Linked DNA regions of Lonchura striata. The protein of the gene in region 1 purifies or fractionates together with the protein of each later gene. This does not show direct contact. Links are inferred from orthologs where the notes say so. Each region holds a gene or a part of one and is shown on either strand. Other genes may lie near its edges.

Region 1 (15,728 bases):
CCTGCTTTGTAGGGCAGAACTGTGCGTGTACATCTGGGGGAAGCAGCATCTCCTACTCAGGAGGAGAATAATACAATGCTGGGAGGAGACCAACCAACCAATCCCTGTGTAAAAACACTCCCAGCCACAGCCAGCTGGAGTGTAACCAACAGATTACACCCAGGGCTGAACTGTGAGGAAAATGGTCAGTTATTCTTCCATCAGCTTATCTAACAAACTCATCTACAACATGAGACACGATGCTTGATACCCCCTGTCAACCTTGCACTACGTGAACTGCTACTGCCACTGTAGAATGGCACGGTCTTGGACTACCCAGGTGCAACTGCATTACACTGATATCATGTAGATATCGTTGACACCAATTAGCAGCACTTAAAAGGCACTGTAAACTGAGTGTTCCTCCTGTTCCCAACATGCACACTAATACCCCAAGTAATCAATTTCAGAGTGCACCAGGACAAGGTTACAAGACTTCAGCATGCAGGAACAGAGCAGCCTTGGAGCTGCTGACAGTAAGCAAGCCTTTCCTACCTCTATGTTTTCATCTTCATCCTCTTCTTCATTACCGGAAGATTCTTCTTCAGCTTCCTTTAGCCATTTAATAAATGGTTCTGCTTTGACACGGATTTCTTTGGCAAGGTCCTTTGAAACGTATTTCTTTGAGGCCTGAAAGACAGATACTTTGAGTGAACAGTGAAGGAGCTTACACCAGATTGTACCCAAATACTGCCTGAACTGGAACTCTGATCTCACCCACTGCCTTCCACAGCCCATTTTTGTGAAGGAGGCCTCTTGGTCCACAAGTTACACCAGGAATGGAGAAGCCAGATGCACTAAGCTACCTTCAGGTATTTAATTGCTACAGTACATTACAAACTGTCCTTTACCTTTTCTGCCCAGCCAAGGATGACTTCTTCTTCCAGAAGATCTGCGTCATACATTTCCTTCAAAATATGTGGTATTTTTGAAATAAGCTGAGACTGATGCATAGCTACCACACACTCAAAGCCATGGAGAAGGTACCTCTGAGCTTTCTTGTTGTTGTGGCAGAACTAGAATTGTGATAGAAGCAGAAGTGATTGAATGAGCTTTTTTACCCTCTCTCCACACTGAACAGAGCAGAAGCAGTTCTATGAGATTGCAAAGTTTACAGTAATTCATATTATCCCTTCCCAGCAGCTCCCCCTAGCCAAGAAGTTTAAAAATAAAACACTACAAAAAGTCCTTCCCCATAGTACCAAGCAACTGCTACAAAAACCTGCCAACAGTTGTCACAGTGAGTGCAGAAGAGATGGCTTACACGAAGGAAGTGACGTCTGTATTTTCTGATTTGTTCACGAATCTTTTCATCAAAAAGGACTTCAGTGAGAACAAGTGGGCCCATAGCCTTTACATCCAGTCTCTCTGCTTCTGCTACAATGTCTTTGTCAGAAGTATCAATGACACCTTCTTCCTTCTTTTTCTAGAGGGAAACAGGTATAGAAACATTTTAATGCCACTTGAGGTCTGCATTCATGCTCTTCGCAGTCATCCCTTCCCACTGCTGGTAGAGACAGCACTCTGCAGGAGCTCGAGCAAGTTGCTTTTGGTTTCCTCACAAACATGTTGTACAATTACAGCCGAGCGATTACATCAAGCCAACAACCAGAGAGTAGTTACCTTTACAAAATCAAACAGTAAGTTGACTCTCTCCTCTATAGTTCTTTCCAGGTCTTCACTAAGTGTGAGGTTTTTCGCATGGTCACTGATTTCATCCATTCTACGCCTCTGGGCTTCTTCTGTTGTGTCCTCACCCCAGTCATCATCATCCTCCTCCTCCTACAATACAAAACCAAAACAAGAGTGCCACAAAATATTACTGCAAGCTTAGTATGACATGAGGATAGAAATAATACAGACTTGACAGCCTTAAGAAATGTTTGGAATAAAATTTCCAAGTCAACGATCACGGTGAAAGTGCAAATATAGGAAGTAATGGTAGCTAAACCTAATTCTATAGCCATATGCAGGGCTACCTGAACTGCAGTTCAACCATTCTACCTAGTACACAGGTGCCTGAAAAGGAGTGATAAAGGATAGGCAGCTTTGACTTAGTAAGGAGCATAAATTCTGGTACTGATGAGCTGATAAAGATGCTATAGAGTAAAATCAGGGACCCTTCTATTCCGGCACTAAGTTTTGGATAAAGTAAGACTTTTAGGTGCAATGTTGACCAGCAAGGAATGCCAGTGACTTCAGAGATTTAAATCTGAGCAACATAACACACACCCTCATCTCCCCACTTTCCCTTCTACTTACCACAACCTGTGGAGGAGTAATCTCCTCTGGTGGTGGGGGTGGAAGTGTCTCATTGCTGGACACAGAACCATTCTCTTTGTCCTTGCCTTTTCTGTTCTTCTTCTCCTTTTCTTTCTTTCCTGTACCAGTGTCACCACTTTCTGCAAGTGAATTTTAATGTTTTGTTCTATGAACTAGAGCAAACTAGAAAGTCCCTGCACCTTTGCCAAATCCCCAAGTGGGTTTGGATGCTGTCATTAGCTGCAAGTTATGGGTAGTACCCATCCCCAAACACACTCAGGGAAGATGTACATTTGGTGGGGAAACCCCCAGCTGCAGCCAGTCTTGCTTGTCACCAAGACTGTCCAAGTCTATATAACAGGTAACCTCACAAAGCAGAGACCCCTGGAATAGGTTAGACTTTTCTATTCTAGCAAGCTTAAATTGCAGCAGGCAACTAGATGCTTACTACAGAGTGTTGCTTGCACAGATTACAGTTTGCATTTACTACAGTTTTTTACTTCCTGCTCTCACATTTCATGCTGACCTAAAGCTAACTACCTTCCTTTCTTGTAAGTTTTGTCCTGCACAGGCAAATCCAGCTTTTAACCAATTGCTACACTTGAGAAGAACACATTGTAAGGAAAAAAAACATTACCAGTATGGCTCCTTCAATCTTGATCCCCAAAAACACTCTAGGAGTATGCTGGTGCCTTTTTACATTTCAATTAAATGTGAGCTATTTATTTTTCTACTTCCATAACACCACTAATACAGTTCTCTTTATCCCCAGAGGTAAGGAAAGGCACTTACCAGGTGGGTTTTTGAGAATGAACGTGCAGAGTTTATGGTTTGTGTCAAGCATGCCTCGATAGCCACAGGCTTTGCAAGAGTTACCTATAGTTTGTTTCTTAGGATTGACATGCTGTAAAGAGAACAACCTCCAGTTAATTTACTACTTACAGAACAACTGCATTAAAGCCTGATGTCTACATTTTAAGCCAGAGGTTCAAATACTTTAGTATCACCCTCTAAAGACAAAGTTTAGAAGTAATAATTTATCCCAGAAGTTATGAACTGTTAGAGATGCAAAACCTTCCCAAAAGGTGCAAAAATGTGTACTTTAATTTCTGTTCATAGATACTGAAGTCTCTTAACTTTGCACCGCTTTCATAAACACCTAACACAGTGTTTCCATGGTGTCATTGTTAATGCAGACAGAGCACTCACCAGATCAGTTTCAGGATTCTCACACTCAGGACAGAGAACAAATTTTTTAATGAATCCATCCAACATGTCTTGCAGCTTATTCGCCTCATGAGATCCATTGACAATGTAACGGTCATTCTTAACATCAAACTGGGTCTGTGCTCCCAGCTCACAACCAAAAAATTTGGTAGGATCTGTAAAGGAAGAATTACAGCCATTACCACATTCATATCTTTGTTCTGATTCTTAAAGAGCAAGTAGAGGCTACTGTTTCTGTCCATTCTTTAATCCTGAGATAATCATGTTTTTTTCCTACAAATCTTTAAGGAACAGTATTAATGCTTTACTAGCCAATTCACACTACCACTTCAAACAGAAAAGCATTACAAAATGCTGTGTCATTCCACAATACTTACACGTTGGAGGCCGATTAAGCGCCTTTGCAACGTCAACCATGTTGACTATAACCGTCTTTATTCCATTTCCTTTGCCCTCCACCTACAGAAAAAAAATAATATTTTAAGGTCAAATGTTTGCAACAGCCAAACCCAGTGTGCATTTCCATTTAACTACACCAAAATTCCGCTTTGAAGTGCAACTCCTTCCAAGACTAACATGCACTTAGTGTGGACCGGAGGAGGGCACATCCTCCCTGCTCTGAGTGACCAAGCATTATCCTGGCCTCTCTTTCCCACCCTGGGAAAACCAGTTATGGGAGAACACTCCCTGCTTTGCTTCCAGCTGCTGCTTAGGAAGTTACCTTGGCAATCAGACGGGGCATTTTGTAGCGATAGAACTGATCTGAAACACTGCGGTTGACGTTGACAGACATTTTGCCTTATTAGTAGCTTTATCAATAAGATGAAGAGATCTTTGATTGCAGTTTTTTGGTATCTTCTGTCTGGAGAAGACGGGATGACATAAACGACTGCAAGAGTTCTCGGTCTCTGACATGAAAAAATTTTCGCCACTGAGGCTGTAAGGTTCTTGCTTGTATGCTATGTTTCCCCAATACAGGTACCAGTGGCTGCGCAACAGCTCTGCAAGTGTTAACAACACACAAAAAAATTAAGTTTAGATTCATGTACATCAATCCACTCTTGCCACAAAGCTATATAATGCATGATATTTAAGGTGAATAAAGGGAAAAGTACATTTCTTATGCTATGGCTTTCTTCAACCTATGGAACTGAAATCCATCCTTGGCTTGTACTGCTAAGGAACTTTTCTTTAACTGCACCACCAAGCTTTCCACCCTCTCTTACTGCCCTAAAACCACTGAACAGCTTACAACTACTTTTTTATACAATTAATTCCAGCAGGAGTTCTGGGATGACTAAGGAAGGGCACACGCCTCGATTATGCAGACCAGTGACTTGCGCCATAAGGGTCACGTGGTACAGTTTCAGGCTGAAGGGCACAGGAAATCAGGAGAAATATTTGGAAATCCATTTCAAATTCCACATCATGAACCTATCACAAACTGAAGTCTGCCAAAATGTTGCAAAATATAAGTAAGATGAAGCAGCAGCAATCTGTAGCCCAACAGTTTCTACATGGCTTACCAGTTTTTGAATCGGAGTGGAAAAGAGTTGAAAATTACGTAATTCTCTCTCTCACTTATGGATTCTCATAGCAGCTTCTGTTGAGTTCTGACTTAACAATAAGCCTGATAAAATCTGACAGAAGTTGCTTCACTGTAGAAAGCCTAGCAATGCAGAGGTACAGAGCAGTGCAGCAGCTTTTCCAGTTGATTTTTTCTTGGGGGAAAGGGAGGGGGGGAGGAAGGGGAAGGAGGATGAATCCTATTATTAACGTTGCCTTGAGCAGTATTTACATATTTAAATTAACACGTGCTTCTATAATCAGATCTAATGGTACTTAAGCCACAATTGGTTGAGTACACAGGCAACCCTGATTACAGAGCATGGCTATTCTGACACGTCATCACGTTGTTATCGTTAATGACAGAAGCGTTGACACATTAAAAAAGCTTTCTTAGTATTTATGTGGAAGAGCGTGCCTATGGTGCAACATGATCCGAGTCCTCTGGTCACGTTTACAACTTCTTTACACAATAAGAACATAGATCTCTATGTGCCTTGTCTTCTACATTAGCCCTGATACAATTTTACCCTTCCTCAGCAAAAACCACACCGCTAGGACTCCGTTTACAACACACTATTTCCTTCCCCAGGATGTCTAAAAAGAGCCGCGGTGTAACCTGACCACGTGTCTTTAGAAATGCCGAGGAAGCAGCTCTCTCGGTGGCCGAGCTCCCAGAAGGAGCGTACCGTTTTCCCCCCCTTCCAGAGCGCAGCACTGATCCGCTGCAGGCTGCAGCTCCCTCTCCTGGTGCCCACACCACCTCATCCCAAGCACCACCCCCCCTCGCCGCGCACGGAGGACAGAGCGGGAAGGCACACCGGCTCCCTGCCGCACAGCGCCGCGCCCCCGCCCCGCCGCCGGTGACTCATAAATGCAGCAATTAAACGCTGACTCAGCGCCGGGAGCCGCCGCCGGCCGCGCATGCGCCCCGCACGGCACGGGGGAGCCCCCGCCGCCCCCCGGGAGCGGGGCCGAGCGCCCCCCCCCGCGCCCGGTGGGAACTGCGCCACTGCCCCCCCCGGGCACAGCGCGGGAGGCGCGGCCCCGCCGCCGCCATCTTGTCTCGTCGCATGGCGGCGGCGAAACGAATATAAATTAAAAAAAAAAAAAAAAATCCTCGCCCTCGCCCCCGCCCCAACAGCAAACAATAACCCCACAGATGAAGGTTTACTGCTTTCAGAGTTGAGTTTTGTTGTGCGGTTTTATGTTGTTTGCTCCCCCGCCCCGCGTTGCTTCTCCTCCCCCTCCCGTCAAAGTCCCGGACGCTTCGTTACACAAAACCTCTGCGAATCTCCACCGTTCACCGGCAGCCTGAGGCCCCAGCCCGGCCCCAACCACCCGCCGGCCCCCGCTCCCCTTACCCCGCTGCCCTCACCCGCACTAGCCCACTATTAGCACTCACCGTTTTCGTCCAATAAAGACATAAACCCAACGCTGCTCGCCCCGGGCTGCGACGAAGCCGATTGTGAGAGGAGAACAGGGCCGAGGGGGCGCTTATATCCAGACGGAGAGGGAGGCGGAGGCGGACGCCGCAGCCTCCGGGTCCCGGCGTCCTGGGGCGGGCGGTATCACCAGGGAGAGCGGCGCCGGGCAATCTGCGGGCAAGATACAATCAGGAGCATCGTTAGCGGCGGCACCTGCGAGGGAGAGGGAAGAGGAGGGGGGAGAAGAGGGAAGGGGGGAGGGAGAGGCGGCGAGAGGCGCGCAGCTGAGGCAGCAGGGGCCGGCGAACGGGACCCGGCAATGGCTGCCCCGTACTCACCTCTAGAATGTTCTCGCTCCGACTGAACAACGCCAGAGCTGGGATCAATCAGCCAGCGCTGCGCCCCGCCCCCCACCGTCGCCATTGGCTCACCGCTCCCCTCGCTGTGAAGCTATTGGCTAAAACCTCGCCGCTCCCCTCGCCTATTGGTGAACGCCGCTATCAATCAAGGCTTTGCCTCCCTCCCCCGTGTCCTCCCCCTCGCCAGTGCCCCAAAGGACATCGCGTCTACAGCGACCGAGTCTCGCGAGAGAGCGCGGGGCGGGGGGGGCCGAGGCCGGGCCGGTGCGGCGGGGCCGGGGCTGAGGGGGCTGAGGGGGCTGAGGGCGCTCCCCGGGGCTGAGGGGCTGAGGGGGCTGAGGGCGCTCCCCGGGGCTGAGGGCGCTCCCCGGGGCTGAGGGCGCTCCCAGCTTCCCCCGGCCCCTCCGTCCTGCCAGGTGTGCCCAAACTCTGCCCGTGGGTGGGGGGCGAGCTACTCCCTGGAGGGCAGTGACCCAGCGCTTGACATCTCAGCAACTATGTTACAAGTAATAATACAAAGAATTCAAAGCAATTAAGTTGCTGAATAAGTTGTGTTTTTCCTGCACAGCCGGCTTGTGGGGTTGGGGAAGAGCCTGTTGTTTAATTCCCGTGTCATAAAGGCTCAGCGTTGGGTGGCTCTGGGTGCCTTACAAAGAATGACACAAGTGCCGTAAGCATGTACTCTATTCTTAGTGGAAAATGTTGCCAGCCCTATGTAGCTGAATTGAGATCCTGAATGAAATGCATATCTTGATTTATTTTCACATAAAAAGCAGAAAACTTGCATCCTTTTTTCCATTTCTCGTTCTTTCCCATCTTCCATCTACGCTCCTCCAGTATCACAGGAGTTATATGTTTTGGGGATTTTACAGTGTCAATAATGTTCAGGTGGCAAAGAATTTTTCCCTGACTTTATGAACTGAGTGGGCAGCCAGCTTCTTGATGGCTCTGTGGGAGTAGAGGAAAAGAGAGGGAATGACAATAAAACTAGTAGTGACATTAAATAATGCTCTAAATCTCTGCCTGCCTAAAGTTGGTTTTAATGTGTAGTTTTCCTGCCTGACTTCGATATCACGTAGATGTGGTCAAAGGAGACATCACTCCTGTTGAACCTTGAAGTACATATTGAACATTTTTGGTCGAATATGCAGAAGAACTGCACTCAGGAAGGTGGCTGATAAATGATGTTTTCTTGCAAGTCACAAAAGCAGGACTACTGCCACTTCCAGTAGCATACAGCAACAATGAAAAAGCAACCCGAGATAAATGCGCACATCTTGGTGCTTTCTATCAAAACCCTCATTGTGTTAGCTGCCCCTCCTACATGTCTCCTTTCAGTACGTGGAATAGCTGGTCGTTCTAGCCAGGACACTGTCCTGTAAAGAATCATGGAATGGTTTGGGTTGGAAGGGACCTTAAAGATCATCTAGTGCTAACCCCTCACCATGGGCAGGAACACCATCCACCAGACCAGACACATCCAACCTGGCCTTGGGCACCTCTGGGGATGCAGGGTCCATCATGTAAGTTTGTCTTGGACTTCACTATCAGCATTTGAAAAAGGTAAACATTCTTCAGGATATGTAAAATGTCTTCTTGATAAATGCACGGCAACACTTTCTGAAATGGGAGAGAGTATGTTAGGGCAAAATAAGGAAGCATCTCCAAAGTATGTAGGGCTTGGCAGTTACCAGGAGAGGAAAAAAGTAATAAAAAAGTGTGAGGCAAGAAAAGCACCGCAGAAAATCCTTTGCTGTGAAACTATGTAGCACATATAACTTGCTAAATGCCTCCTGACTGTGGCTTTAGCTCCCTATTACAACACCTAGGGGGTTAATAAATTACAAGTGTTAAAGTATACTGTTGCCAACACCACTTAGAGAACTGCTGGGAAAGAGACCCAGGATTTGGTACTATTTGATATTATGAATAACTCTGAACCCTTACAATTAATAGCACAAAGGAAGATAGTTTTTAAATATAGTATATAAATTGACAAAAATTAAAGAGGTACTTTTAAGATGGTGTTTCTTCTGCAAAAAGCAGGTCTTATCCACGTGAAGCCACATGACATTCTCCTGGATCATGCAAATCAGACCAAAATTATGGATTATTGACTTCATGGTGCCTAGTTGTTGATTTTTTTCCTCAGCAGAAAATTAATTAATATTAAATGTTAGATTCAAAATATTTTTTACTGAATCTTAATATTTACAGTTTGTTCATTTTAATATTTCACAATATGGACAAGACAGAAAAATATTTTCTCTCCTCCCACTTTAAAATGTCACAATTTCATGAATCCCAAAGTTCATAGTACACATTGCTTGTGTGACCTTCAAAATACAGACTGTTTGTGTACTTTGTGTTTTATTGACAGAAACTATGCAGGTTTTATACATACTTTTGTAGATATGACATTTTAAATTACATTAGTAAGTCAGGTTTTCCAAATGGTTTCACGTCTAAGAATAGGAAAATTTCCACAGTTGAATTTAGGGTGCTTCTCCTTGTCATAGAAATGCTTTATTATTGCTGAGTTCAGCCTTGAACAAACCAAGTTTGTTCCATGTTGCCTTAGCTGGTTTTTATTAGAAATAACCAAGAATCAATGACTGTGACAATGCAGCAAAATCAAAACTCTATTGAAATTCTTAACATATTTAACATTTTCAGAATTAGGTTTGTCAACTGAACAGTTACAATGTGTCCTTTAAATCCCCGATTGATAACCTGATGTCCCTCTGTGGTTTATTCAGCGAGCTTGTCCTCTCTCAGTGGTGTGGCTGGCTGCAAACATAACCCTAATTCAGTGCCCTCTTGGTAACCTTGGCCTTGAAGAATGTTTTGTCTCTGCTGCGTGTGTTTTCTCCCAGAGGCTGGGTCAGAGCTCTTATTTCATGCAGTGCAGGCAGGAACGTTAGCACCTGAGTAAGGGATTCCTCCTCATGCTGGCTTTGGCTGTAATTTCAGGAGATGGAAGGAGGGCCAAGCTTATCTATAGTTATGTGGAACAGCAATAGCCTTTCTTCTTCCTATCTTGGCAGTGTGTAGAGAAAGTTTAATTATTTACATGTCAGTTGGAATAGCTAACATTTAGGGAAGGGTGGGTCCGAAATCCATCAGGATTGACGCTAGACATTGATCATTCACAAGGGCAGAGGTTAATTCTGGTTTTACTGTTCAGGAGCTTCAGAGTAATTTCTGTCCAGCACCTCACTGGCCGTCTTGGGGAGGTTCACTTTATGAAATGCTTTTCTTTCCAGGAATTAGTAAACAGAGAAAAACATGAAAGTAAGTGTGTGATGTTGCACACACAGAGCCATTATTAATGGAAGTCATTTTTGTTGCTTCTATTACCATGCAGAAATACTAGAATCTCCCAGCTAGTGTTTTGGGTCTGGGTTCAGTGTCAGCTGACAGCCTGAGCCCTGCCCTAGATCTGGTCTTCTCACTAGTGAGGTTTCCTGTACCCTCCCTCTTTCTCTTCCAGTGTATGTCCCTACACAAGGGAGTCACCACAGCAAGGAGAGGCAATCAGCTTCTCTTCAGAATACAAACCAGTGTTTGATAGCAGTGAAGTCTCTGCCTTGGAAACCTGTCTTTTCTCTGTGTGTCTCACCAGAAAGTGGAAATGCTGGTGATAGGAATCAGGGAAGCCTGGTTTTCTCAGTTTGTCTAGGCATCAGTTTTGGCTATGGGCCTTATTGGCAACCACTACCATTATCCAGCAGTTGCATGCTGTGGTTGGCAAATCTGCCTGCTACATTTATATGGTTGCTGAAAGAAGTGGATGTGGAAGATAAGAGTCCCTGGGAGTACAGCTTCCAGCTGAGAACATGCTGTCAAAGCTGCCTGTCTGCTCATAATGCCCATTAGTAACCACTGCATTTACATTTCTCTGCTTCTTATCATAGTCAAGCTTCAGACATGAAGATCTGCCTGTGTGTTTAGTTAAATCTCTCTTCCAGTGCCATTTTAGCAATCTGCACTTCTATTTCCCTAAAGAAATTGCTCAGGCCCTCTGCAGCTGTCGTGCTTTGCCATCACCTCCACAGATTAATCCCCCTTCATCCCTTTTCATTGGCTTCTGGTGGTCTGGCAACCAGTACTGTGATTATCACTATAGATTTCCCAGCAGATTTAATTCTAAGTAGTAAAAAAGAGTAATGAGTACTTAGAGTTACCTTTTAGATTTTTACTTTTCCTAAGGGAAAATGTGGTAGCCCCTGGTATTGAGAGCCTATCTCCAAACCTCCTCCCAGACTGGGGACACCCTGGAGATCTTAAGTGCTCTCACAGCCCTTCTCTTGTGAGCCAAAATGTGGCTGCTGATCTTGTTTCTCGGGGTCTGCCCTGCTGGGTGCAGCAGGTTTTGCTCATTTCTTCTGCCCATCTGAGCAAGGAGGAGTTTCTTTGCTGTAGAAAAATACAAGGGCATTGCTGGGAGAGCTGAGCTTTGGAGGCAGTACTGAGGCCCACTTAGGAGTTAAGTTTGTGCTTCTGCTGGCAGCTCTAGGAAGAGGATATGGCATCCCAGATGCTTGGGCTGAAAACAAAGGAAAAGCCAGTTTTGAAGGCAAAGGAAAATTTTATGTTCTCCAAAACAAAACCTTTGAAGGTGCTGCTTGGCTGGTGCTGTGCATTTGGAAACAGGCAGACACATCACAGAAAATATTTTCTTCTCCTAAGTCTGATTTTAAATTCCTAAGAGTTTCTTCTCTTGTGATGTTGAAGGTATTTTTCAGGGAACTACAGGTCCTAGAGGATAATGTTGAATTTGTACATAATGGCTGAGAATTTGCTGGTTGTTTGGTATGTTTAACCAGCAGCTTGATTACAGCTGGTGCCAGCTTCTTAATAAAAACACAGGGATTACCTTTTGTAATGAAGCAAATAATACATGACTACCTTGCAGTGCCAAAGGCTTTGAATGCTTCGGTGGTTTGCAGCTCAAATATTTATATTACTAAAATAAATTGTTTGCCAAACTACAAAACAAAGCAGGGGGAGTGGTACTTAAATAGGAAAATAGAGGCAAAATCTTTGTCCTATGGTTTGCATATGCCAAGTGTTAGGCATGCTTAGGGTATTACACAGACTAGTAGCAATATTAAAACAGCTAATAACACACATGTTTTCCAGGACTGCTGTAATAAATTAAGTCTGGTTTTGGCCGGTGGGGATTCTTGGACACCTAATAAAAGCTGACTTGGAGCTCTAATAATGTCTCTTCCTGTGAATGCCAGTGTGTTTGGAAATATGCAGGGGGTTCAGGAACAGGTAAATGGTGATGAGGACACAGGTAGGTGCATACTCACACACAAACACACTCACCACCATTGCATAAATCTTGGTTGTTTAAGAAATGAGGCTAAAAATATCCTTGAATATGAATCTGGGTCATACATAGTGTTGACTGTAACGTCTAGCATGATTTTATTGACCTAATGTAGACCTCTGTTTTTGAGAATGACCCAGGAGGCACTGAAGGGAAAACATTTTTAGAAGGATTTTACTGCATTGAGTTATTTCCAAAGTCAGTTTTTCAAAAGTCTTAAGACAAAGAGTTGGGCCAGTGCAGGCTCAAAAGCATAATGTAGAGTGAATTTTCCCTTGAAGCTCAAGGGGTTTATCTGAAGAAAAAAAATCTTAACCAATCTTAGTGGTTGTTTTTGAGCTTTTTACTTGGGATAGTCTCAGGATACAAGCTTTCCTGAAACAGGCCTTTTCATAGAGTTGAAGGGATCTAAAATAAATGCTAATGATATCATGATTTGTGGCTACCACACTCATTTGGAAAACTGTGGCACCCACAACTGAATTACATTATGTGGTAGCTGTGAACATTTTGACACTGTAATTTTTTCAGAACTTGATTTTAGGATTCCAAAATGATTGGGTGCATGTAAGTGAGATCACATGTATAATGCATTATTTGGCACTTAGTCTAATTTATACTTATTTCACCAGTGTCCTTAAGATGCCTTTTTCTTAAGCCTTATTTGCACAAGTAATTTAAAGTCCAGTAGCAATTTGGCTTCAGTGCCTGATGTAGACATGCAACATCTGAATAAACTGCAACATGTTGTTGTATAGTTCTCAATGGATTTTGTATCTTCTGTGTCTTATTTGCAATAAAGGACACAAAGTAGGTCTTCCTAAAGTTCCTCACAACCACTCCAACCTCTAAAAGATGAGATACTCAAAAAATATTCTGGCTGTTTTCAGTATTACTTGCTGCATCTCACCCATAGTTAGTTTTTAATCATTATCATTAATGATTTACTGTTCCCTTTCTATCATGTTACTTTTTCATTGTTGCCTCCAGCAGACAAAAAGCTTTCAAAGGGTTCTTTAGGACTTAATGTATTGTTTGTCCTAGATATTTGGCATGACTTATTCAGAAATGTGTAATAAATACACAGCTCCTCTAATTTCTGATTGTTTGCACATCTAAAACCTATCCTTGTACCAGCCCTTGTGAAGCAAATTAACTCTACCCCAGCTGAAACCAGCAGAGATGTTTGACAGATTAATGGATGACCAGATGATGGATGAATACTCTCAAGTTAGGAAGGGTGTGTGGATGCAGGTGGGATCTTGAAGGTCATGTGTAAATATGTGTGAGCTCATTCAAGTCTGTGGGGATGCAGCATTTTATACCAGTGGATAATGTGCTGGTTTAACTCAGAGACTTTACTTCTGAGGCATCATTCCTGGTACTGGCTTTGTGCACTTACCCCTGATTATGGCTATAATACTTCTGTCTTCAAAGACATATGCTTATAAAAGTTTAATTTTGTAATCAGATATCCAGTTCTTTTGATTCGTTGAACCTAATGTGGCTAAAGAAAGCCTTTACTTTCCCTGCTTGTTTGGTTGTTTTTTTTTCCCTGGTGCACTGAGACAAGAAGTACTGGTACAAGTGGTTTTGATAGTTTAGTCTATCTGCTTTGACGGTAAATCTCTGTGTGGGTCTATGTGCTCTGAAGGATGTTTACTGGTAGACAGTTGATAAAACTTCTTTTTATTTTATAGACAATGAATTGTGAATCTCAGTGTCACTGCTGCTCCCACAGAGACTTACAGTAAACAGCTGAGTCATACAGATAAAGGCTGAAATTTCTTCTCTCACAGCTATGATGGAATCCCACTGAGTTCCTTTGCAGAGAGTCCTGAGCTACTGAGTTCTGCACCCTGAAAAACATTTGGATGGGCAGGAGGGTGAACAGCTTATCCCCTGCACCTTGTCCAGCTCTGTGCTAGCTCTGGTGCTCAGGAGGCATATGCTGGGATGGGTGCAGCCAGATTGCTCACAGCTCACTCACATCCTGGAGCAGCAGGGAATCAGGAAAAGTAGTGGTGGGCTGCCAAGTCTCAGCCTGCTGGCCAAGTTGCTTGAGAGCCAGCACAAACCTGCTATAGAGTGAGACTCAGGACTCCTTTTGCCCGAGCAAAGGTCTTAAAGGCAGCTTTGTAGCTGACTTTGGGCTGTGGCAGATTCACCTGTTTTTTGCCTGTTTACTTATCGTGCTCCAGATCTGCAAAATGTTGTGTTTCCCATACTGATTCTAACCTATCTCAGTATACCTCCTGAGAGACCTTTGGGTGATATTATTGGCGTTGGGGAGATCTGTCTGCCTACATCTGTGGACTCTGCACAGGGCTGTTGCACAAAAGGCTATGCAATATATTCTTCAAAAGACCTACTAATGAGAACACATGAATCAAAGGAGAGTTACTAGTCATGGGTTTCCCACAGTAATCTCTTTCATAACTGATAACTGCTTCTCAACAAGTACCTAAAAATATTAAATAAAACACAGAGTCTTAAGCCTGTACTCAGGACCAGCTAAGCTTCAGCCATTTGCTCTGACCACTTTTGAAAGCTCATGCATTGCTTGCATGGGAGAGCTCTGCCAGAGCTGTGAAAATCTGTATATGTCTTCACTTGTGTTCTGTGTCTTTTATCTTGTCCACTTCTCACTGGCATTGACTGCACTTAAAGCTTTTTAGAGGGCCTGTCATTGTGCTGTCCATGCTGCTAAGGCATGGACAGACAGTATTCTGTTCTTAAATCCTGCTTTGAAAATCTCTTCATAATATGTCCCTAGAAGAAATTTCTGGTTTGTTTATTTTGATTTGTCCTTTGGCTGTGGCTGGATGCCCCGTCATGAGCCAGAATCAAACTGGCTGAGTACCAACACAGGGTAATTTGCAGCTCCTTGTAGGCGACTTCAGTTCATTTTGGCCATGCCTCTACAGCATTTCCCAGAGCCAGTCATCTCTGCTTCAGCTGATCGGGTGCAAGCTGAACTCTGACTTGCCTGGCTGAGCTTGCCAAGAAAAGCATTAGCTAAGCAGAAACAGAGTGTGGCTAGGGGCAAAGGTGAGCATGCATTAAGTATCCACATCTTGATACTAAAAGGATGCAGCTACAATCTAAACAGGGTAAAGGGCCCCCGGCAGACAGACAGCCGCCTCAGGTGACCCAGGAGCACACGCCGCATTGCTCGCTGAGAAAGGCCTCTCTGTCTCCCTGAGTTAAGCATGCCTATTTTGAGTGAGATGCAAAACAAGTGCAAGAAACCAAACTATATGACCTTGATGACATTCCTCTGTTTCTTGGCATTGGTTTGTTGTGCTTAGAAAGACCTTGAATGTGCATATCTCATCCCCAGGCAAAACAGAGATATTTGTGCAGCTGGATTGAAGTTCCCCTCTCCCTTATACACAGTCTAGGGGATGGAGAGGGTGTCTGAATGCTGGGCCACCAGGTGAGAGACAGGATACAGACACTTAAGTTCTTCATCTGTGTTTAGGAAGGAGTGAGGAGCAAAGGTGG
Region 2 (15,628 bases), on another chromosome or scaffold:
CAGCGTGTCCTTGTAGGGGCAGCGCGTGGTCCAGTGGTCGCCCTTGCAGATGCGGCAGGAGACGATCTTCTGGCCCTTCAGCTTGTTCATGGGGTCCTCCTCCTCCTGGCAGTTCAGGTCCTGCGGGATGGGGACACACCTGAGGGCACCTGGGCACACCTGAGGGCACCTGGGGGCACCTGGGGACACCTGGGGGCACCTGGGGACACCTGAGGGCACCTGGGGGCAGCTGGGGGCACCTGGGGACACCTGGGGGCACCTAGGACAGAGCTGGTGGCACACGTGGCCATGGGGCACACCTAGAGATGTTCATGGGGTCCTCCTCCTCCTGGCAGTTCAGGTCCTGCGGGATGGGGACACCTGGGCACACCTGGGCACACCTGGGGGCACCTGGGCACACCTGAGGGCACCTTGAGACACCTGGGGACACCTGGGGGCACCTAGGACAGAGCTGGTGGCACACGTGGCCATGGGGCACACCTAGAGATGTTCATGGGGTCCTCCTCCTCCTGGCAGTTCAGGTCCTGCGGGATGGGGACACACCTGAGGGCACCTGGGCACACCTGGGGGCACACCTGGGCACATTTGGGTCACCCCTGGGCACATCTGGGGCACCCCTGGGCACACCTGGGGCACACCCGGGTACATTTGGGGACACCTGGGCACACCTGGGGGCACACCTGGGGGCACACCTGGGGGCACACCTGGGCATCCCTGGGCACACCTGGGGCACACCCGGGTACATTTGGGTCACCCCTGGGCACACCTGGGTACATTTGGGGACACCTGGGCACCCCTGGGTCACCCCTGGGCACACCTGGGTACACCTGGGGGCACACCTAGGCACACCTGGACATACTGGGGGCACACCTGGTCACCCCTGGGTACACCTGGGTACACCTGGTCACCCCTGGTCACCCCTGGGCACACCTGGGCACCCCTGGGCACACCTGGGCACAGCTGTCCCTACCTCCTTGCTGGTGATGAAGGTCATGAAGACGTCGTCGCTCACGGTCGTCGTGGCCACGTTGGGCCCGGGGGCGTCGAACTCGGAATTCCCAAATTTCTTCCAGTTCTGGGAGAGGGGAAATCCCAAAATCCCGGGAAATTCCGAAATGCGCCCGTGGGAACGCCTCGGTCCCGATCCCGTCTCCCAGGGAAATCCAATTTATTCCCGTTTTTCCCCAGGTTAATCCCATTTATTTTCCAAGTAAATCCCATTTTCCAGGTAAATCCCATTTATTTTCCAGGTAAATCCCATTTTCCAGGTAAATCCCATTTTCCAGGTAAATCCCAATTTTTCCCATTTATTGCCCAGGTAAATCTCATTTATTTCCCAGGTAAATCCCATTTTTTTCCCATTTTTCCAGGTAAATCCCATTTCCAGGTAAACCCCATTTTTTCATTTTTTCCCAGGTAAATCCCGTTTTCCCCAGGTAAATCCCATTTTATCCCAGGTAAATCCAATTTTTCCCAGGTAAATTCCATTTTTTCCCATTTTTTTCCAGGTAAATCCCATTTTTCCCAGGTAAATCCCATTTTCTCCAGGTAAATCCAATTTATTCCCATTTTTCCCCAGGTAAATCCCATTTTTTTCATAGGTGGATCCCATTTCCCATTTCCAGGTAAATGCCATTTTTTTCCCATTTTTTCCAGGTAAATGCCATTTTTTCCCTTTTCCCCAGGTAAATCCCATTTTCCAGGTAAATCCCATTCTTTCCCTATTTTTTCCCAGGTAAATCCCATTTTTCCCAGGTAAATCCCATTTTTTCCCTTTTCCCCAGGTAAATCCCATTTTTCCCCAGGTAAATCTCATTCTTTTCCCATTTTTCCCCAGGTAAATCCCATTTTTTCTCTATTTTTTCCCAGGTAAATCCCATTTTTCCAGGAAAATCCCATTTTCCCCTGACCTTGCGCCGGGCCACGGCCTTGGAGGCTTTGCGGGTCTCGATCCGGAACGTTCGGATGATCTGGGAAAAACGCGGGAATGGGGCCGGGAAATCCCAAAAACCCCAAACCTGGGGCCCTCAGGGGACAAATTCGGGAATTCCCGGAGCACCTGAGCCCAAAAAACCCAAATTTGGGAATTCCTGGAGCACCTGAGCCCAAAAAACCCAAATTTGGGAATTCCCGGAGCACCTGAGCCCAAAAAACCCAAATTTGGGAATTCTTGGAGCACCTGAGCCCAAAAACCCAAATTTGGGAATTCCTGGAGCACCTGAGCCCAAAAAACCCAAATTTGGGAATTCCTGGAGGACCTGACCCCAAAAAACCCAAATTTGGGAATTCCTGGAGGACCTCAGCCCAAAAAACCCAAATTTGGGAATTCCTGGAGCACCTGAGCCCAAAAACCCAAATTTGGGAATTCCTGGAGGACCTCAGCCCAAAAAACCCAAATTTGGGAATTCTTGGAGCACCTGACCCCGAAAAACCCAAATTTGGGAATTCCTGGAGGACCTGAGCCCCAAAAACCCAAATTTGGGGCTCAGGTGCCGAATTTGGGGTCCAGAGGCGCCAAATTTGGGGTCCAGAGGTGCCGAATTTGGGGCTCAGGTGCCGAATTTGGGGCTCAGAGGTGCCAAAATTTGGGTTCAGCTGCCACATTTGTGGCTCAGGTGCCACCTGTGCCCACCTGTGCCCACCTGTGCCCCCGTGCCCACCTTGACCTTGCGCCCGTCCTCCTCCTCGCGGTACTCGGTGATGGTTTTGATGTTGCCGTTGACGACCTCCTTGGGGGACGGGAGGGGCCCTGGGGGGGACAGGTGTGCCCAGGTGAGCCCAGGTGTGCCCCCAGGGCTCCCCAGGTGTGCCCAGGTGTGTCCCTCCCATCCAGGTGTGCCCAGGTGTGCCCCCAGGGCTCCCCAGGTGTGCCCAGGTGAGTCCCTCCCATCCAGGTGTGCCCAGGTGAGTTCCTCCCATCCAGGTGTATCCCCAGGTGTGTCCCTCCCATCCAGGTGTGTGCCCAGGTGTGTCACTCCCATCCAGGTGTGCCCAGGTGTGTCCCTCCCATCCAGGTGTGCCCAGGTGTGTGCCCAGGTGTGTCCCTCCCATCCAGGTGTGCCCAGGTGTGTGCGTCCCATCCAGGTGTGCCCAGGTGTGCCCCCAGGGCTCCCCAGGTGCCCCCAGGTGTGTCCCTCCCATCCAGGTGTACCCCCAGGTGTGTCCCTCCCATCCAGGTGTGCCCAGGTGTGCCCCCAGGGCTCCCCAGGTGCCCCCAGGTGTGTCCCTCCCATCCAGGTGTATCCCCAGGTGCCCCCAGGTGTGTCCCTCCCCTCCAGGTGTGTGCCCAGGTGTGTCCCTCCCCTCCAGGTGTGTGCCCAGATGTGTCCCTCCCATCCAGGTGTGTGCCCAGGTGTGTGCCCAGGTGTGTCCCTCCCATCCAGGTGTGCCCAGGTGTGTCCCTCCCCTCCAGGTGTGTGCCCAGGTGTGTCCCTCCCATCCAGCTGTGCCCAGGTGTGTCACTCCCATCCAGGTGTGCCCAGGTGTGTGCCCAGGTGTGTCCCCAGGTGTGTCCCTCCCATCCAGGTGTGTGCCCAGGTGTGTACCCAGGTGTGTCCCTCCCATCCAGGTGTGTGCCCAGGTGTGTGCCCAGGTGTGTCCCTCCCATCCAGCTGTGCCCAGGTGTGTCCCTCCCATCCAGGTGTGCCCAGGTGTGTGCCCAGGTGTGTCCCCAGGTGTGTCCCTCCCATCCAGGTGTGTGCCCAGGTGTGTCCCTCCCATCCAGGTGTGTCCCCAGGTGTGTCCCTCCCCTCCAGGTGTGCCAGCGGTGCCAGCGGTGCCCTCTCACCTCCCTTGAGCAGCTCGGCCTCGGCGCTGGAGGCGCCCCCCAGGACCCCGGGCAGGGGCAGATCCTTCAGCAGCTCGCTGGTGATCACCTTGTCTGGACAGGTAAGGGGGCTCAGGTGGGCACCGGGCACGGTGACCTCACCTGGGCACAGGTAACCTCACCTGGGCTCACCCGGGCACAGGGAGCTCACCTGGTCACAGGTAACCTCACCTGGGCTCACCCGGGCACAGGGAGCTCACCTGGGGCACAGGTAACCTCACCTGGGCTCACCTGGGGCACAGGTAACCTCACCTGGGCACAGGTAACCTCACCTGAGCTCACCCGGGCACAGGTGACCCCTCTCACCTGGACCAGTCCCCCCAGCCCCTGGCACAGCTCTTTGTCCCCAAGGACACAGGTGCCACCCCGACAGGTGTGCCAGGTTTGACAGACGTGCCAGGTGCCACAGGTATCACAGGTGTGCCAGGTGCCACAGGTGTGCCAGGTATGACAGGTGTGCCAGGCATGCCAGGTGCCACAGGTGTGACAGATACCTTGAGTGCCACCCCCCAGAGATGTCCCAGGTGGCATCCGTGCCAGGTGTGCCCTGCCAGGTGTGCTGGTGCCAGCCCCACAGGTGTGCCAGGTACCACAGGTGTGACCGGTGCCACCCCCCACAGGTGTGCCAGGTGTCACAGGTGTGCCAGGTACCACAGGTGTGACCGGTGCCACAGGTGTGCCAGGTGTCACAGGTGTGACGGTGCCACCCCCCACAGGTGTGCCAGGTGTCACAGGTGTGCCAGGTACCACAGGTGTGACCGGTGCCACAGGTGTGCCAGGTGTCACAGGTGTGACGGTGCCACCCCCCACAGGTGTGCCAGATGTCACAGGTGTGCCAGGTACCACAGGTGTGACCGGTGCCACAGGTGTGCCAGGTGTCACAGGTGTGACGGTGCCACCCCCCACAGGTGTGCCAGATGTCACAGGTGTGCCAGTGCCACCCCCCACAGGTGTGACAAGTGTCACAGGTGTGACTGGTGCCACCCCCACAGGTGTGCCAGGTGTCACAGGTGTGCCAGGTGTCACAGGTGTGCCAGGTGCCACCCCCACAGGTGTGCCAGGTGTCACAGGTGTGCCAGGTGCCACTCACCATCCTCTCCTCCCTCCTCCTCCACCTGGTCAGCCCAGCTGGGCTTGGAGCTGTGGGGACACAACGGCCTCGGCTGGCACCTGTGCCACCCTTGGGTGCCCCTGTCCCCTCCTGTGCCACCCCCGTGTCCCTGTGCCAACCCAGTGCCACCCTTGGGTGCCCCTGTCCCCACCTGTGCCACCCTTGGGTGCCCCTGTCCCCTCCTGTGCCACCCCCGTGTCCCTGTGCCACCCCGGTGCCACCCTTGGGTGCCCCTGTCCCCTCCTGTGCCACCCTGGCTGTCACCTGTGCCACCCTTGGGTGCCCCTGTCCCCTCCTGTGCCACCCCGGTGCCACCCTTGGGTGCCCCTGTCCCCACCTGTGCCACCCTTGGGTGCCCCTGTCCCCTCCTGTGCCACCCCCATGTCCCTGTGCCACCCCGGTGCCACCCTTGGGTGCCCCTGTCCCCTCCGGTGCCACCCTTGGGTGCCCCTGTCCCCTCCTGTGCCACCCCCGTGTCCCTGTGCCACCCCGGTGCCACCCTTGGGTGTCCCTGTCCCCTCCTGTGCCACCCTGGCTGTCACCTGTGCCACCCTTGGGTGCCCCTGTCCCCACCTGTGCCACCCTTGGGTGCCCCTGTCCCCACCTGTGCCACCCTTGGGTGTCCCTGTCCCCTCTGTCGCCTCCCCCTCACGGCCCCGGCCCTGCCCGAAGCCCCCAGGACCCCCCGGGACCCTCCCGGGACCCCCCCGCAGGCCCCGTGCCCGGTTCCCGGTGCCGGCCGTCACTCCCGGTTCCCGCTCCCGGTTCCCGCTCCCGGTTCCCGGTGCCGGCCGTCACTCCCGGTTCCCATTCCCGATCCCGGTTCCCGATCCCAATTCCCAGTCCCGTTTCCAGCTGTCACTCCCGGTTCCCGTTCCCGGTCCCCATTCCCGTCCCCGTTCCCACTCCCGGTTCTCGGTCCCACCTCCCAATTCCCACTCCCGTTCCCGGTCCCAATTCCCAGTCCCGTTCCCGGTCCCAATTCCCAGTCCCGTTCCCGGTCCCCACTCCCGGTTCCCATTCCCAAGCCCGGTTCCCGATCCCAACTCCTGATCCCGGTTCCGATTCCCACTGCCGGTTCCAATCCCGGTCCCGGTTCACGATCCCAGATCCCGATCCCGGTTACGGTTCCCGATTCCCGATCCCAATCCCGATTCCTGTTCCCGGTTCCGATTCGCACTCCCGGTTCCGGTCCCGGTCCCCATTCCCGTTCCCCGTTCCCGGTTCCCGCTCCTCAATCCCCGCCCCCGTTCCCGGTTCCCGTTCCCGTCCCCGCTCCCCCTCACTCGTAGTCCCCGGCCGGCATCGCCTCCGCCTCCCTCACGCCGCCACACCGGAAAGGCCGCGCGGCACTTCCGGCCCCCCGCGCGCCACTTCCGGCGGGGCAGGGCGGGAAGCGCCAAGCGCCACTTCCGGCCCGCGCGCGTCACTTCCGGCGGGGCAGGGCGGGAAGCGGTTGCCGAGCAACGGCGCCATGGCGGCCGCGGCCTGCTCGGAGCGCGGGGCGAGAGTTGGTTATAACTTATAGGCGCGATTTATTTGAAGAAATATTACAACATATAAAAACTACATAAAGTATCGAGTTCCACCTTGTACAAAGCGGCCGCGGGGGGGTTCGGTACAATGCGATAAAAACGGGGCAGCGGGGCCGGGCCCTGAGGGGGGGAAGGGGAGGTTGGAGCAGCACAGAGAGAGTGGAGGGAGAGGAATTAAAATAAAAAGAAACAAAGAGAAACGAAAGGCGGATTGGGGAAATTAAAAGCGTTTTAGAAAGGAGGAGATGAAAAGCCAGAAAAAAAAATCTAGGAATTAAAAAAAGGGAAAAGGAAGAAAAAATGAAGAGGAAAATAAGGGGTTAAAAAAATCTTTAAAAAGAGGAGAAAAAAGGAAAATAAAGAGGAAAAAGGGGAAAGAAAAAAAGGGATAGAAAGAAGGGGGAAAAACAAGGGAGGGAAGAAAGAGAACAAACAAGAAAAAATAGGGAAAAAAAATGAGAGAAAAGGAGGAAAAAAAAAAAAGAAAAAAGGGGAAATAAATCAAAAAAGGGGAAAAAAGGGAAAAAAGACCAAAAGGCAACTGAAAGCAGAGGCGAAGGCGAAGCAGCCCCGGAGCCGAGGCCCCCCCGGCCCCCCCGGCTCCGGCCGGGCTCAGGCGGCCGCTCCCGACGGCTCCGGAGGCACCAGGACCGCGGCGAGACCTGCGGGACACGGGGACACTGAGGGGACATGGGGACACTGAGGGGACATGGGGACACCCAGGGGACACAGGGACACCCAGGGGACACAGGGACACCCAGGGGACAGGGACAGTGAGGGGACACTGGGACAGTGAGGGGACACGGGGATGGTGAGGGGACACCCAGGGGACACCCAGGGGACACCCAGGGGACAGGGATGGTGAGGGGACATGGGGACACCCAGGGGACACAGGGACACCCAGGGGACAGGGACAGTGAGGGGACACTGGGACAGTGAGGGGACACGGGGACAGTGAGGGGACACGGGGATGGTGAGGGGACACCCAGGGGACACCCAGGGGACAGGGACAGTGAGGGGACAGAGGGGACACCCAGGGGACACAGGGACACCCAGGGGACACCCGGGGACACCCAGGGGACAGGGATGGTGAGGGGACACAGGGACACCCAGGGGACAGTAGGGACACCATGGGGACACAATGGGATGGTCACTGAGCTGTCACTCAGTGGTCACCCGGGGTCACTCAGGGTCACTCATTGGTCACTCTGGTCACTCAGGGTCACTCATGGTCACTCTGGTCACTCATTGGTCACTCTGGTCACTCAGAGTCACTCAGCGGTCACTCATTGGTCACTCTGGTCACTCAGGGTCACTCAGGGTCACTCAGGGTCACTCAGTGGTCACTCTGGTCACTCAGGGTCACTCAGGGTCACTCAGGGTCACTCAGTGGTCACTCTGGTCACTCAGGGTCACTCAGGGTCACTCAGGGTCACTCAGGGTCACTCATTGGTCACTCTGGTCACTCAGGGTCACTCAGGGTCACTCAGGGTCACTCAGTGGTCACTCTGGTCACTCAGCAGTCACTCAGTGGTCACTCTTGTCACTCTGGTCACTCATTGGTCACTCTGGTCACTCAGGGTCACTCAGTGGTCACTCTGGTCACTCAGTGGTCACTCAGGGTCACTCAGGGTCACTCAGTGGTCACTCTGGTCACTCAGCAGTCACTCAGTGGTCACTCAGTGGTCACTCATTGGTCACTCAGGGTCACTCAGGGTCACTCAGTGGTCACTCTGGTCACTCAGCAGTCACTCAGTGGTCACTCAGTGGTCACTCATTGGTCACTCAGGGTCACTCATTGGTCACTCAGGGTCACTCTGGTCACTCAGGGTCACTCACCGGCCGTGTCCTGGCGCGCTTTGGCCACAGCGCAGGCCTTGATCTCCAGCCCGATGGCCTTGGCCAGGGGAGGCGGCACCGCATTGCCCACCTGGGGACAGACGGACAGACAGAGGGACATGGGGACAGGGGACAGACAGAGGGACAGACAGAGGGACATGGGGACAGACAGAGGGACATGGGGACAGGGGACAGACAGAGGGACAGACAGAGGGACATGGGGACAGACAGAGGGACAGGGGACAGACAGAGGGACAGACAGAGGGACAGGGGACAGACAGAGGGACATGGGACAGACAGAGGGACAGACAGAGGGACATGGGGACAGACAGAGGGACATGGGGACAGGGGACAGACAGAGGGCCATGGGGATGAGGGACAGACAGAGGGACAGACAGAGGGACATGGGACAGACAGAGGGACAGACAGAGGGACAGACAGAGGGACAGACAGAGGGACAGGGGACAGACAGAGGGACAGACAGAGGGACATGGGGACAGACAGAGGGACATGGGGACAGGGGACAGACAGAGGGACATGGGGATGAGGGACAGACAGAGAGACATGGGACAGGGGACAGGGGACAGACAAAGGGACAGACAGAGGGACAGACAGAAGGACAGAGGGACATGGGACATGGGGACAGGGGGACAGGGGGACATTGGGACAAAGTGAAAAGAGGACATTGGGACAAAGGGACAAACGGACAATGGACAATGGGACAATGGAAGAAGGGACAAAGTGACAAAGGGACAATGGGACAATGGGACAATGGACAATTGGACAATGGACAAAGGGACAATGGACAATGGGACAATGGGACAATGGGACAATGGGACAATGGGACAATGGACAATGGGACAATGGACAATTGGACAATGGACAAAGGGACAATGGACAAAGGGACAATGGACAATGGGACAAAAGGACAATAGGACAAAGGGACAAGAGGACAATGGAGAATGGGACAAAGTGACAAAGGGACAAGAAGTCGGTGCCCAAAGGGACAAAGGGGACAAGGGGACACCGTGTCGGTGCCACCGCGGTGCCGGTGCCACCCACCTGTCTGTGCTTGTCCAGGATGTTCCCGAAGAGCCGGAAGGTGTCGGGGAAGCCCTGGGAGCGAGCGCACTCGCGCACGCTGACCACGCGGTGCTGCTCGGGGTGCAGCACGCGGCCCTGCAACGGCACCAACCCGACGGGGTGGCCACCATGGACCACCAAACCCAACGTGGTGGCCACCACACCAACGTTCTGGCCACCACTGACCGCCAAACCCAACGGGGTGGGCACCACAGACCACCAAACCCAACGGGGTGGCCACCACACCAACGTTCTGGCCACCACTGACCGCCAAACCCAACGGGGTGGGCACCACGGACCACCAAACCCAACGGGGTGGGCACCACACCAACGTTCTGGCCACCACTGACCGCCAAACCCAACGGGGTGGGCACCACACCAACGTTCTGGCCACCACTGACCACCAAACCAAACGTGGTGGCCACCACTGACCGCCAAACCCAACGTGGTGGCCACCATGGACCACCAAACCCAACGTGGTGGCCACTGGAGACCATCACACCCAATGTGGTGGCCACCACACCAACATGCTGGCCACCACGGAGCGCCAACCCACCAACATGGTGGGCACCATGCATCACTAACCCAACGTGGTGGCCACCATCACTGAGCGCCAACCCAACGTGCTGGCCACCACGGTGCGCCAAACCCAATGTGCTGGCCACCACTGACCACCAACACAACATGCTGGCCACCACTGACCACCACATCAACATGGTGGCCACTAAAAACCACCACACCCAACGTGGTGGCCACCAGAGACCACCACACCAACATGGTGGACATTGGAGAACATCACACCCAACATGGTGGATGCTGGAGATCACCACACCCAACATGGTGGCCACTGGAGACCACCACACCCAATGTGGTGACCACCAGAGACCACCGCACCCAACGTGGTGGCCACTGGAGACCATCACACCCAACATGGTGGCCACCACTGACCACCACACCCAACGTGGTGGCCATTGGAGACCATCAAACCCAACCACGGGGCCACGGTGGCCATCGGTCGCCACCAAGCAACCCGCCCAACCGTTGGGACACCGACGACCGTTGGCCACCATCGAAGGCTGGGGCGCGGTGGCCACCGGTGACCCCCACCAACACCCCCCGCCGGCCGTGCCCGCGGCCCCCCGCCCCCACCTGCTTGCCCATGGGCTCGGGGTTGGTGACGGTGGTGCTGAAGAAGCCGTCCCACTCCAGGCGCCCGTAGAGGCCGGCCCAGTGGTTGTGCCGGTTGCCGGTGTGCGGGAGGCACCACGGGATGAGGGTGTTGAACTGCCGGTCGGCCGGGTCGCACGGCTTCCCTGGGAAACACCAAAACACCACCAAAAACCAAACCCCGGGAATTTCCGGGAGAACGGCCGCGCCCGCCGGGCCGGGGACGTGTTTCCGGAGGTCCACCACCCACCTTCGGCGCAGGAGCAGACGCCGCGCAGGGCGCCGGCGCTGCTGCGGCCGTTCTTGCGCTCGTGGTGGGTGTAGCGCAGCTTGCGGGTGGTGGTGCCGTCCGAGAGCCGCACCTCGATGTTGGGCAGGTCCCGCCAGTCGGAGCCGGGCGCCAGCGGGATGTGCCGCATCCGCGCCGCCACCAGCGCGCTCATGTCCTGCCGCCGCCGGCGACAACGGGCCGCGTTGGGCACCGCCGCCGGGGCCCGCGACGTCCAGCGCTCCCAAAGCCAGCATTCCCAAAATCCCCACCATTCCCAAAACCACCATTCCCAAAATCCCCACCACCAAAACCACCATTCCCAAAATCCCCACCGGTCCCAATTCCAGCATTCCCAAAATTCCCACCACCAAAACCATCGTTCCCAAAATCCCCACCGTTCCCAAATCCAGCATTCCCAAAATCCCCACCGGTCCCAAAGCCAGCATTCCCAAAATCCCCACCACCAAAACCACCGTTCCCAAAATCCCCACCACTACCAAAACCACCGTTCCCAAAATCCCCACCGTTCCCAAAACCACCATTCCCAAAATCCCCACCACCAAAACCACCGTTCCCAAAATCCCCACCGTTCCCAAATCCAGCATTCCCAAAATCCCCACCGCTCCCAAATCCAGCACTCCCAAAATCCCCACCGCTCCCAAATCCAGCATTCCCAAAATCCCCACCGGTCCCAAAACCACCATTCCCAAAATCCCCACCACCAAAACCACCGTTCCCAAAATCCCCACCGGTCCCAAATCCAGCACTCCCAAAATCCCCACCACCAAAACCACCGTTCCCAAAGTCCCCACCATTCCCAAATCCAGCATTCCCAAAATCCCCACCACTACCAAAACCACCGTTCCCAATGCCTCCACCATCCCCAAATTCACCATTCCCAGCACCTCCACCATTCCCAAATTCACCATTCCCAAAATCCCCACCATTCCCAAATCCACCATTCCCAACACTTCCACCATTCCCAACACCTCCACCATTCCCAAAATCTCCACCATTCCCAGCACTTCCACCATTCCCAAATCCGCCATTCCCAAATCCACCATTCCCGGTACCTCCCCCATTCCCAAATCCGCCATTCCCAAATCCACCATTCCCAGCACCTCCCCCATTCCCAAATCCACCATTCCCAAAGCCCCACCATTCCCGGCACCTCGCCCATTCCCAAATCCGCCATTCCCAAACCTCCACCATTCCCAGCACCTCGCCCATTCCCAAATCCACCATTCCCAGCACCTCGCCCATTCCCAAATCCGCCATTCCCAAAGCCCCACCATTCCCGGCAGTTCCCAGCAGCTCCCCCATCCCGGATTTGGGCGGCTCCGGCGGGATCCGGCGGCTCCGGGTGCCGTTCCCACCTTGCAGATGTGATCCCTGAGGATGGGCTGGTACTGGGAGCCGCGGATCTGGCGCTGGAACCACGACTGGGGCTCGCCGTTGTAGGAGATCTCCAGCGCCGAGGCGCCGTTCCGGATCTCCGGCAGGTCCGACATCGTGTCCCGCACCGTGATGGTGCGGAACGGGCCCGAGTACGTCCTGCGGGCACGGGATTCCCAACTCGCCATTCCCAACGCGGAATTCCCAACGCGGCATTCCCAACTCGCAATTCCCATCTCAGAATTCCTGACTCGCAATTCCCAACTCGCAATTCCCATCTCAGAATTCCCGACTTGCAATTCCCAATTTGCAATTCCCAATGCGGAATTCCCAACTCACAATTCCCAAATTGGAATTCCCAATGCGGAATTCCCAACTCGCAATTCCCAATTTGGAATTCCCGACTCAGAATTCCCAACGTGGAACTCCTGACTCAGAATTCCCAACTCACAATTCCCAATGCGGAATTCCCAACACGGAATTCCCAACTCGCAATTCCCAATTTGGAATTCCCGACTCAGAATTCCCAACGTGGAACTCCCGACTCAGAATTCCCAACTCACAATTCCCAATGCGGAATTCCCAACTCACAATTCCCAATTTGGAATTCCCGACTCGGAATTCCCAACGTGGAACTCCCGACTCAGAATTCCCAACTCGCAATTCCCAATGCAGAATTCCCAACTCGCAATTCCCAATTTGGAATTCCCAACGTGGAACTCCTGACTCAGAATTCCCAACTCACAATTCCCAACTCGCAATTCCCAATGCGGAATTCCCAACTCGCAATTCCCAATTTGGAATTCCCGACTCAGAATTCCCAACTCACAATTCCCAATGCGGAATTCCCAACGTGGAACTCCCGACTCGGAATTCCCAACTTGCAACTCCTAACACGGAATTCCCAACACAGAACTCCCAACGCTGAACTCCCAACTTGGAATTCCCAACTTGGAACTCCCAATTCAGAATTCCCAACTCCCAATTCCCAACTGAGAATTCCCAACTCGGAACTCCCGACTCAGAATTTCCAACTTGGAATTCCCAATGCGGAATTCCTATCTTGAAACTCACAACTCAAATTCCGAACTCGGAATTCCCAAACCAGAATCCCCAAGTGCTGAATTCCCAAAGCGGAATCCCTGAGTGCCGAATTCCCAAACCGGAATCCCCGAGTGCCAAATTCCCAAACCAGAATTCCTGAGTGCCAAATTCCCAGACTGGAATCCCCGAGTGCCGAATTCCCAAACTGGAATCCCCGAGTGCCGAATTCCCAAACCAGAATCTCCAAGTCTCCAAACTCCCAAACCAGAATTTCCAAGTGCCGAATTCCCAAACCGGAATCCCCGAGTGCCGAATTCCCAAACCGGAATCCCTGAGTGCCGAATTCCCAGACTGGAATCCCTGAGTGCCGAATTCCCAAACCAGAATCTCCAAGTCTCCAAACTCCCAAACCAGAATTTCCAAGTGCCGAATTCCCAAAACAGAATTTCCAAGTGCCGAATTCCCAAAGCAGAATCCCCAAGTGCCGAATTCCCAAACCAGAATCCCCGAGTGCGAAATTCCCAAACCAGAATCCCTGAGTGCCAAATTCCCAAACCAAAATCCCTGAGTGCCAAATTCCCAAACCAAAATCCCCGAGTGCCGAGCTGCCAAACCGGAATCGCCGAGTGCCGGATTCCCGGCATCCCCGATGCCGAACCGGGATTCCCGCCCGGCATTCCGGGCTCTCACCGGGTGATGTTGCTGACGAACTTCTTGTCGTCCACCACGACGCTGAGCTGGCAGGCGCGGGGGGCGAAGACGTGCAGGGGCTCGGGGAACATGGGCAGCTTCTCGCCCGGCGCCGCCGCCAGCACGATGGCGCGGCGCCGCGTCTGCGCCACGCCGTACTGCCCGGCCTGCGGGCACAGCCCCGCTGGCACCACACCCAGCCGGGCACGGGCCCACCCCGCCCCGGGGACACAGCCCACCCCGCCCCGGGGACACAGCCCACCCCGGGGACACAGCCCACCCCAGGGACACACCCTGCCCCGGGGACACAGCCCACCCCAGGGACACAGCCCACCCTGGGGACACAGCCCGCCCCGGGGACACAGCCCACCCAAGGGACCCACCCTGCCCCGGGGACACAGCCCACCCAAGGGACCCACCCTGCCCCGGGGACACAGCCCACCCAAGGGACACACCCTGCCCCGGGGACACAGCCCACCCAAGGGACCCACCCTGCCCCGGGGACACAGCCCACCCAAGGGACACACCCTGCCCCGGGGACACAGCCCACCCAAGGGACACACCCCGCCCCGGGGACACAGCCCACCCAAGGGACACACCCTGCCCCGGGGACACAGCCCACCCCGGGGACACAGCCCACCCAAGGGACACAGCCCGCCCCGGGGACACAGCCCACCCCGGGGACACAGCCCACCCCGGGGACACAGCCCACCCAAGGGGACACAGCCCACCCAAGGGACACACCCCGCCCCGGGGACACAGCCCACCCAAGGGACACACCCCGCCCCGGGGGACACAGCCCACCCAAGGGACACACCCTGCCCCGGGGACACAGCCCACCCAAGGGACACACCCCACCCCGGGGACACAGCCCACCCAAGGGACACACCCTGCCCCAGGGACACAGCCCACCCCGGGGACACAACCCCGCCCCGGGGACACAGCCCGCCCCGGGGACACAGCCCACCCAAGGGACACAGCCCACCCCAGGGACACAGCCCACCCAAGGGACACACCCCGCCCCGGGGACACAGCCCACCCAAGGGACACAGCCCGCCCCGGGGACACAGCCCACCCAAGGGACACAGCCCACCCAAGGGACACAGCCCACCCAAGGGACACACCCCGCCCCGGGGGACACAGCCCGCCCCGGGGACACAGCCCACCCAAGGGACGGGGTGGGAATGGTTCCAGAGCCACCCCGGGGACACAGCCCACCCCAAGGGACACACCCCGCCCCGGGGACACAGCCCGCCCCGGGGACACAGCCCACCCCGGGGACACAGCCCACCCAAGGGACACAGCCCACCCCAGGGACGGGGTGGGAATGGTTCCAGAGCCACCCCGGGGACACAGCCCACCCCGGGGACACAGCCCACCCCGGGGGACACAGCCCACCCCGGGGGACACAGCCCGCCCCGGGGACACAGCCCACCCCGGGGACACAGCCCACCCCGGGGGACACAGCCCGCCCCAGGGACACAGCCCACCCCGGGGACACAGCCCACCCCGGGGACACAGCCCACCCCGGGGGACCCACCCTGCCCCGGGGACACAGCCCACCCAAGGGACCCACCCCGCCCCGGGGACACAGCCCACCCAAGGGACCCACCCCGCCCCGGGGACACAGCCCACCCAAGGGACGGGGTGGGGATGGTCCCAGGGCC

What was found.
Region 2: the proteins of EIF5 (region 1) and EIF3G purify together in Homo sapiens (affinity purification with western blotting; 3 studies listed by BioGRID and IntAct, with this or other methods). This does not show direct contact. The link is inferred for Lonchura striata from reciprocal best matches to the Homo sapiens genes EIF5 and EIF3G.

The regions. Positions count from the first base shown.
Region 1 is NC_134608.1:10,225,716-10,241,443, forward strand, and holds the start of EIF5 (eukaryotic translation initiation factor 5), read right to left. Parts: upstream 6,935-15,728; 5' UTR 6,860-6,934; intron 6,693-6,859; 5' UTR 6,500-6,692; intron 5,245-6,499; exon of another isoform or gene 5,055-5,244; intron 4,530-5,054; 5' UTR 4,322-4,529; coding exon 4,250-4,321; intron 3,988-4,249; coding exon 3,906-3,987; intron 3,684-3,905; coding exon 3,511-3,683; intron 3,206-3,510; coding exon 3,094-3,205; intron 2,765-3,093; exon of another isoform or gene 2,641-2,764; intron 2,442-2,640; coding exon 2,302-2,441; intron 1,822-2,301; coding exon 1,663-1,821; intron 1,466-1,662; coding exon 1,304-1,465; intron 1,056-1,303; coding exon 891-1,055; intron 670-890; coding exon 535-669; intron 1-534.
Region 2 is NC_134623.1:1,631,697-1,647,324, reverse strand, and holds the start of EIF3G (eukaryotic translation initiation factor 3 subunit G), read right to left. Parts: upstream 6,316-15,628; 5' UTR 6,244-6,315; coding exon 6,224-6,243; intron 4,967-6,223; coding exon 4,917-4,966; intron 3,881-4,916; coding exon 3,788-3,880; intron 2,750-3,787; coding exon 2,661-2,749; intron 1,971-2,660; coding exon 1,911-1,970; intron 1,076-1,910; coding exon 971-1,075; intron 121-970; coding exon 1-120. UniProt on the Homo sapiens protein: RNA-binding component of the eukaryotic translation initiation factor 3 (eIF-3) complex, which is required for several steps in the initiation of protein synthesis.